Arabidopsis thaliana: one gene and its partner. The protein of the gene in region 2 binds, or shares a complex with, the protein of the main gene of each other region. Each region holds a gene or a part of one and is shown on either strand. Other genes may lie near its edges. A codon is read from its position in the direction of its gene.

What was found. The genes of interacting proteins can lie anywhere in the genome.
Region 1: the proteins of AT1G51980 (region 2) and AT5G25450 are in contact, whole or in part, in a cryo-EM structure (PDB 8BEP), measured with the Arabidopsis thaliana proteins. Residues at the interface, in NP_175610.1 of Arabidopsis thaliana: Thr135 (codon at 716), Phe137 (codon at 710), Arg138 (codon at 707), Arg141 (codon at 698), Trp189 (codon at 554); in NP_197927.1 of Arabidopsis thaliana: Arg53 (codon at 1,569), Met97 (codon at 1,157), Leu100 (codon at 1,148), Glu104 (codon at 1,052), Glu107 (codon at 1,043), Arg108 (codon at 1,040), Leu111 (codon at 1,031), Ala113 (codon at 1,025).

What each region holds. Positions count from the first base shown.
Region 1 is NC_003076.8:8,855,088-8,858,841, reverse strand, and holds AT5G25450 (Cytochrome bd ubiquinol oxidase, 14kDa subunit), read right to left. Parts: upstream 1,926-3,754; 5' UTR 1,807-1,925; coding exon 1,713-1,806; intron 1,632-1,712; coding exon 1,474-1,631; coding exon of another isoform or gene 1,456-1,473; exon of another isoform or gene 1,194-1,455; coding exon 1,146-1,193; intron 1,062-1,145; coding exon 993-1,061; 3' UTR 366-992; downstream 1-365. Other genes in the region: AT5G25440 (Protein kinase superfamily protein), read left to right, coding at 2,120-2,177, 2,269-2,522, 2,648-2,783, 3,139-3,281, 3,364-3,490, 3,587-3,754. UniProt on the Arabidopsis thaliana protein: Component of the ubiquinol-cytochrome c oxidoreductase, a multisubunit transmembrane complex that is part of the mitochondrial electron transport chain which drives oxidative phosphorylation.
Region 2 is NC_003070.9:19,325,267-19,329,020, forward strand, and holds the start of AT1G51980 (Insulinase (Peptidase family M16) protein), read right to left. Parts: upstream 1,653-3,754; 5' UTR 1,506-1,652; coding exon 1,467-1,505; intron 1,157-1,466; coding exon 911-1,156; intron 834-910; coding exon 537-833; intron 443-536; coding exon 275-442; intron 173-274; coding exon 5-172; intron 1-4. UniProt on the Arabidopsis thaliana protein: Substrate recognition and binding subunit of the essential mitochondrial processing protease (MPP), which cleaves the mitochondrial sequence off newly imported precursors proteins.

The sequences.
Region 1 (3,754 bases), on a different chromosome or scaffold from region 2:
AAATTAACCTCTACGAGAGAGACTGATCACTCATATATGTATGCTTAACACGGCAGCCGAGGTTTGTAGGTTGACCTAGAGTTTCTACGACATAACCTGCATCCAAGCTTGGTCAAGCTCATTGGTTACGGTTCGGATGATAATTGTTGTTCATTGTTTCTGAATACTTTCCAAACGGAAGCTTAGAGCGTTACATTTATAGGAGTAAGCAAGCTAGAAAATTGTATTGAGCGCATTTCTTAGAATTTACTACGAACCTCCTGAATACATATTCTCAGGTAAGTCCTCTCTCAAGCTACAGAATGACCATTAAAATTCATACACTAACCTAAAACTGATTGCACGGTAATACGCATATACAGGGAGATCACACATGGCGGGCGATGTATACAGCTTCGGTGTTATACTATTTGAGATCTTAACTGGTTTGGGAAACCCGTGCATCATCTTAGCAGAGGAAGCAACAGAGAATAGAAAAGAAAACATTGTGGAAATGATCGATCCAGATTTAGAGAATAGCTATCGTGTTGAAGAGGGGATGCGTATGTGCAAGCTCATAAAACTGCCTTGAAAGAGATCCCAAGGAAAGACCATCCATGCAACAAGTGCTAGATAATTTGAATGCTATAGCCCATATTTGAGAGGACAAACTAAGGGTTATAAAGGATTGTGGTTCAGAGGTTACACGCCTCTCTTCAGAGCTCCTATGAGGAACTGTGAAAACATTTCCAAAAGCTAGCTTAAGGGTTTGTGTGCCTTTATGTCTTTATGTAGCATGATTTACTCTCCTCCTACCGGTGTGGGATATTTTACTCATATTTCTGTAATAGCTCAATCAAGCTTACATTACACATCCAATTCAATCTCATAAAATCTTATACATAAGGTTCACATATCCATGCATAACCATACAAAAGCAAATTGTGCGGTATTGAAGCCTAAAGAGTACTAAAACAGTGACCCTACTATAAGCACAAGAGAGACTAACATGCTTAAGGAATGGTTCTTTGGTAGAGAGGTAAAGCTCCCAAAGCCTCTCTCTCAGCTCTCTCCCGCTTCACCTGCACATGAAGTGTCGTGTGTTAGAACTTTGCTATATGATTCTTCTATCACTACAAGATAGATAAAACTGTTTTTGTTCTTACAAGAGCCAACATGTCTTGGAGGTAGCTCCTGAATGGAGTCTGCACTGCCTGTGGAATTACAGAGACAAGGAAAAGAAAAAAAGATTTACATAAGCTTCCTATCTCACAACTAACAAGCACTATCTCAAAAAAAACTTCTTTCATAGACAAGATCTTACAAAGCTTATCAAGTTACAATTATATTACAGAACCAAAACAGGTTTCTGAAAACAGAGTGTTCTTGATCCTAATACAAGTCTTAAGTCAAATCTTGCAAGCTCTATCTACAAACTCCATAGCTATATACCGTTTTAGCTCTGTTGTCACTTACTTAGAGACTAAAACATACCTGAAGATTATCTGGGAGGTATTCATGTTTCATAGAAAGATCCATTGCACGCATAAGACGCTGGTTCCGAGCATCAACAATCTCTCTCGGTAAACGATTAAGAGCTTCTTTAATATCCAAATCATACAAAGGATCATAAAGATCGTCGTATCTAAGACCTAAAAAATCGTAAAATTCCCAAAATCAGCCAGAAGAGAATTAGGGTTTGGTTTCTAGGGTAAGAGAGAAAGAAAGAGTACCGTATCTGCGGAGGCGATTAGAAACAGACTTCATATGCATACGAGCTAAGAAATTCTTCCTGGGATCTACTAGTCTCTGGAGAAACGACGCCATTATCTTCTTCGGAGTAACGTTGAAGATGTGAATTGTGATGAAACCCCTTCGCCGCTATTTGTAATTTAACCCGGGAACGAAGAAGGAAGAAGCATCCAGAGACATCTGTTTAAACGCCGTCGTATGAAACTCTAGCCAAACGGCGTAGTATGTACTCTTATCAAAAAACGGCGTCGTATGACTCACCAAATAAAACGCGTCAACCGTTGACTCTCAAACGCGTTTTCGTTGACTTTGCTCCTCGGTGTGAAAAACTAAAAGTCCTCTCTTCTTCATTGAACTCTAGTGTTAAGATTTAGCAGAGAGTATCCGAATGGGAAATTGTCTCTCAGCTTCGACACTTCCCACCGAACCAAATGCTCCCAAATCAGGTATACATATATATATTTCTCTGCGGATTTAAGTACTTTTGATTTGAATGTTACTATAATGGATATAAGTTTTGTTATAATATATGTATAGTGGAGGAGGGTGTGAAAGTCTTCACGGTGGCAGATCTGAAGAAAGCGACTAATGATTTCGGAAACCAGATGGAACTAGGAGAGAGCTTGGGATACATCAATCCCAAAACGTTATCTCCGGCCAAGAAAGGTGTTGGCATGGCCGTCGCGGTCAAGAAAATTTACTTAGCCAATGAACAAGCTTTTCAAGATTGGCTTGTAAGTAATTATATCATCTCAATCTATAGGAGAACCTTCGGCAAAACCAATAATATTGTTAAGTTTCTTGTTACTTATTTATTCTTCTAAATTTTTTGATGTTTTTGGATGGTAAATGTCTATGTTGCCTACCCCTAGAGATGGGTCAGTGTGTCTTAACATTAGAGATGATATTTTTGTAGGTTGACGTAGAGTTTCTACGACATAACTCTCATCCAAGCTTGGTGAAGCTAATTGGCTACTGTTATGATCGTGATATGTTGTTTATTGTTTCTGAATACTTTCCAAATGGAAGCTTAGGAAGTTACATCAGTAGAGGTAAGGAAGTTAAGTTTATTCATCTCCTTTTCGTCATTATATCTTGTGAGTAGACTCAAAGCAAGAAGAATCTTGCTCGAGCAAGACCCAAAGGTAAGAGCTCTTAATAAGAGCTTTAAAACTAGATCTAAAAATTGAGATAGCTCATTAGAGCTTTATTTAGTGGAAGTGAGGAAAATATACTAATTGAAGAACACCAAGCTAAATGATTCCTAGATAATTTAATATCATAGAGAGGGAATAAAGAGAGTTGCTCAAATTGATTTCTGGAGCTCTCACGAGTTTACGATCTTAACCTTAGATCCAATAGTAATTCATCTTCCTTTTGGATTTAATGGTTTATATAATATCATAGATAGTCGTCCAAAGTCATTGCCGTGGGAGACACGACTTAAGATATCCATAGGAGCGGCTCAGTGTCTTGCCTTCTTGCACTCTAGGAAGCAAGCCGGTCTATACCGCAGATATCTCACTGCTTCGAAAATCCTGCTCGACTCGGTTTGTATTCACCTTGCCTTTTTTGTTTTTTTTCTTGAATACTTGCTCCTTACCTTTAAAGTGACATTTATGGGATATGCAGGACTTCAACGCAAGAGTTTCCTATTTTGGAAAGCCAAAAGTTTCTCTCGATGAATTGGTATACACCATCGGGTTTTCAAATGTAGCACCTAGATATCAATACCCACCTCCCGAATACATACTCTCAGGCAACAATCTTCTGCTTCTTCCTTATATCTTAAAGTTAAAAGTGACCATTAAATTCAAAGAGACTAACCTTAATTGATTGCACTAATCAAATGAAGGGATGTCGAACATGGCGGGCGATGTGTATAGCTTTGGTGTTATACTACTTAAAATGTTAACTGGTTTAGGAAAAGACCTCACAATCTCAGCAAAGCGAGAAATAAAAAATAAAAAGTACAACATTGTGGAGATGATCGATCCAGATTTGAAGAATAGCTATCCACTTG
Region 2 (3,754 bases):
CTACCTCTCCACCAGTATGTTGGCGAAAATCTCCACCGACATACTGAGATTTTGGAGCCAATTGGGGTGGTACATTAGGAAGGTCAGAAGTTAATGGCTCAGCAACTTTTAAAAGTTCCTCATGTTCTACTCCACTTGCCGCCAATACCATCCGTGCAGCAGTGAAATTCTCCTGAAATTCCCAGATAAATTGAGTCAAAAAGACAAATAAATAGGATTGTAATTTTGAAATCGCTGAGACGTAGATGGTTCACAAAAGCTCATGCATTCTTACAGTCATAAACTCTTCCAAGAGCTCCCCATTCAATCTATCTAAAGCAGACTCCGGTGCGTACAGAGGACTTGCCAATGGACCAGAGTAACCAGCAGAATGAATGGCCTCCAAGAGGAAACCCATAGGGTTCTTTGCAAGTTCCGCTATCTCTACCTTCATCTTCCGTAGCTGCGGAAAAGATCATCGACACATGGCTAAAAGTCACATAAAAGTTTCAACACAGTTATCAGAATAATACAAAAGGAAAAAAAAAATGATCTACCTCTTCATTCACTTCCCAGTCCAAGAAAGCAGGGTTTCTAACACTGTCAATAAGAACTTCAACCATTTCAGGGACATAGGTCTTAAGAGCATCAATAGTGTAACTCATTTGCTCTCGAGACGCAGAAGCGGATGTGTTGCCTCCAATAGCCTCAATTTCCCTCACAAGACGAAAATGAGTTCTGTTCAACGTGCTCTTGAAAGCCATTCTTTCAAGCAAATGTGTAGCTCCATGGAAATAAGGCGCCTCATAAATAGAACCGCAATCAACATATAAACCAATCGAAGCTGCCGGATTCTGCACACAACATTAACTTTCTTCAGTTCACATTTTCAGGAGTGAAATCAGACATTAAAATTCGTTCTTTTATTTACCGGAGTCGTCTCTGAGGCTATCTTAAGACCATTTGGAAGAGTAGTGATCTGAAGTTTGCTCGGCTCGACTTTATCAGCAAGCGGCGGAGGAAGAGAAACACCTTGTAGAGGCATATCCAATGAAGTAAGCGCAGCACGAGACCCACCACTCAACCAGCTCAAGTAAGCCGGCGTTGACGAACTCGTCTCCGCAACAGCACTAGAACTAGCATAACGCGCTGGTCTCAAACTACGAGTAAGAACTCCCTATATAACACACAATCACAATACATCACATAATAAGAAACCAATCTTTTCTATGGTATCAATCAAAGGACAATAAGAAGAATCATAATCGAAATCATTTCTCTTAAATCGAAAATCAGATGAGTTATAATCTAAACCAATGGATTGACTTTAACCAATCAGAGAAGAGATCATTGTAACCTATAGAAGTAACTACAAACGAAAGAATTTGAATCCAGATCTGTTAATTCACTGAATCGGACCAAATCGTTCCAGAATCTTCCAGGAACAGGATAAAAGGGTAAAATTGTAAAAAGGAATAAGGATGTACCTTAAGAGCCCTGGCTCGTGAAGCTGCCGTGCGATACATGGCGAAGATTGGGTAACCCTAAATCGGAAACTGAGTCGACGACGAAAGAGAGGTTGAGGCTGATGAATAGAGAGAGAGGAGGAGACGGAGGCTTTTTCTCAGTTTATTTACGATTTTGTTTAGTTTAGACTTTAGAATCTAAGTTGCTACGTACTCGGTGATATCTTGCTAACATAGGCCCATAATATGTACTAAAATCTGACCCAATATTGTGTTATGGGCTTGGCCCAATCCTAATATTTATTCAAAGTGGTTTTTAGACTATTTATCAATCTGAACAAATCTAAACTATATAACCTATAGCCAATTTCAACCGTCAAAACATCATCTAATCATCTTTTTCATTAAAAATCTGTTTACTGAAGAATTTTAATAATAATTGAAAATTATCAAAAAATATGTCCATTCTGTATTTACTTAATTAGATTACTGAGTTGGTTTAGTGTGTACTTCAAATATTTTGTTACTAGATTTTAAACCGCGGTATACCGCGAGACGATTTTTTTTTAAAGTAATATATTAAAACTTGCAAATTTTAATTTTATAAAATATTAATATTTTACAGTTTAAAATTGTTATTAGGTAACGTTATACCACGAATCCATGAGACAATTGTTAAAAAACTGAAGTTTTAACCCCTATTAAAACATCATATTAATAATATTTTAATATTTTATAAATATTGATTCAAATACATCCACCATATAACCCAATTCTAAAATAAAATCCGTTATGTAATTTCTTACCCGTCCCATGATTTTTTTTTTAAAGTAGTAATTTTTAAAATTTAAGAATTATTTTTTATATATAAAAGCTTTGCAAATTGTATCATTCTCTAATACATTTATATTTTATAGTTTAATTTTATATATAGTAATATTATACATACCACATAACATTTTTGGTTTTATATAATCTTTTCTAAATTAGGATGATTTGATATGTTTAATATTAGTAGTTTTAAAAAATAATAAATTAAAGATTTAACCCGTATTGAAACGGTGGATTAGTTATATTTTACTTTTTTATTAATGTTGATTCAAAAACCCGTCCCTTCAAATCCGTCTTCCAAAAAGCAATTTATTTTATTAATATTAATTTTATTAATGATATGACTCTGAATTATAATCTAAACATTTTAACTAATAACATAGGAGTGCACCATATTTATTCAATAGGAAAATGTATCATATGACCTGAATGCACTTTTACCCAAATCCACCAAAAAAGCAAATATATTAGTTAGCTTAAATTTGTTAAAGAATACAAATTGAAAAAGTATATTACATTTTATTCGAATATAGTATCAAAACTTATATAACACAGAGATTTGATAATTTTTTAATTGTTGAATACTTTTTGTTTTGCTAATTTTTATGTGATTAAGATTTAATTAATTTCGTATATAAAATATTAAATTATTTTACGAACTTATTTGTTTATAATTTGGTAACAGATAGATATTTGAATATTCAATATATTTTGCTTCAGTTTAGGAAATATTTGATGACCCATCTTTAGATCCAATAAGCCCTATAATCTAGATATTAACCTGCTGTATACCGCAGGTAGACTTATATTTTAGTTAAACTAAAAACTTTTATTGTAAAGATGATTTAAAAATATATGATATTATTTTATTTGATTTTAAATGTATATTAAACTGTGAGTTGTATATGTTTTGTTAATATTATGTATATTGTTTAGTGTTTAAGATTATACACTTGTAGTTTGATTGCTAATTTAAGAGTTTCACCTGTAGTATACCATCTTGTATTAATATCGATCTAAACCCGTCAATTCTAAGATTTTCCAGCTTGTATTAAAAATTGAATCACATCATACATATAAGAAAATCTAATATGTTTTTAATTATTGTAGTATATAAGATTATAAATTTTCAATATAATATGTATGAAATTGAATATAAATATTTCAAATTATGACCCGTTACTCAGTAGAAAGTTTTCTTAAATCTATTTTCACCCGTTATAATATTTTTTCATGTATTGAACAGTTTATATTCGTTTTTAAAAAATCAAATTATGGCATATGCGAAAAAACTCTAATTATTTTTTATAATGATGATATTATTTTTCGCAAAAATAGAATCATATAAAGATGAGAAGTGAACTATAATAATTAATAAAAAATTAATATGATAATTTAGATATCAAATCTAATTTGTTAATTTTTACTGGTTACTTTTTTGGAAATTAATAATGTATTTCGTTTTTGTAATTAAATTA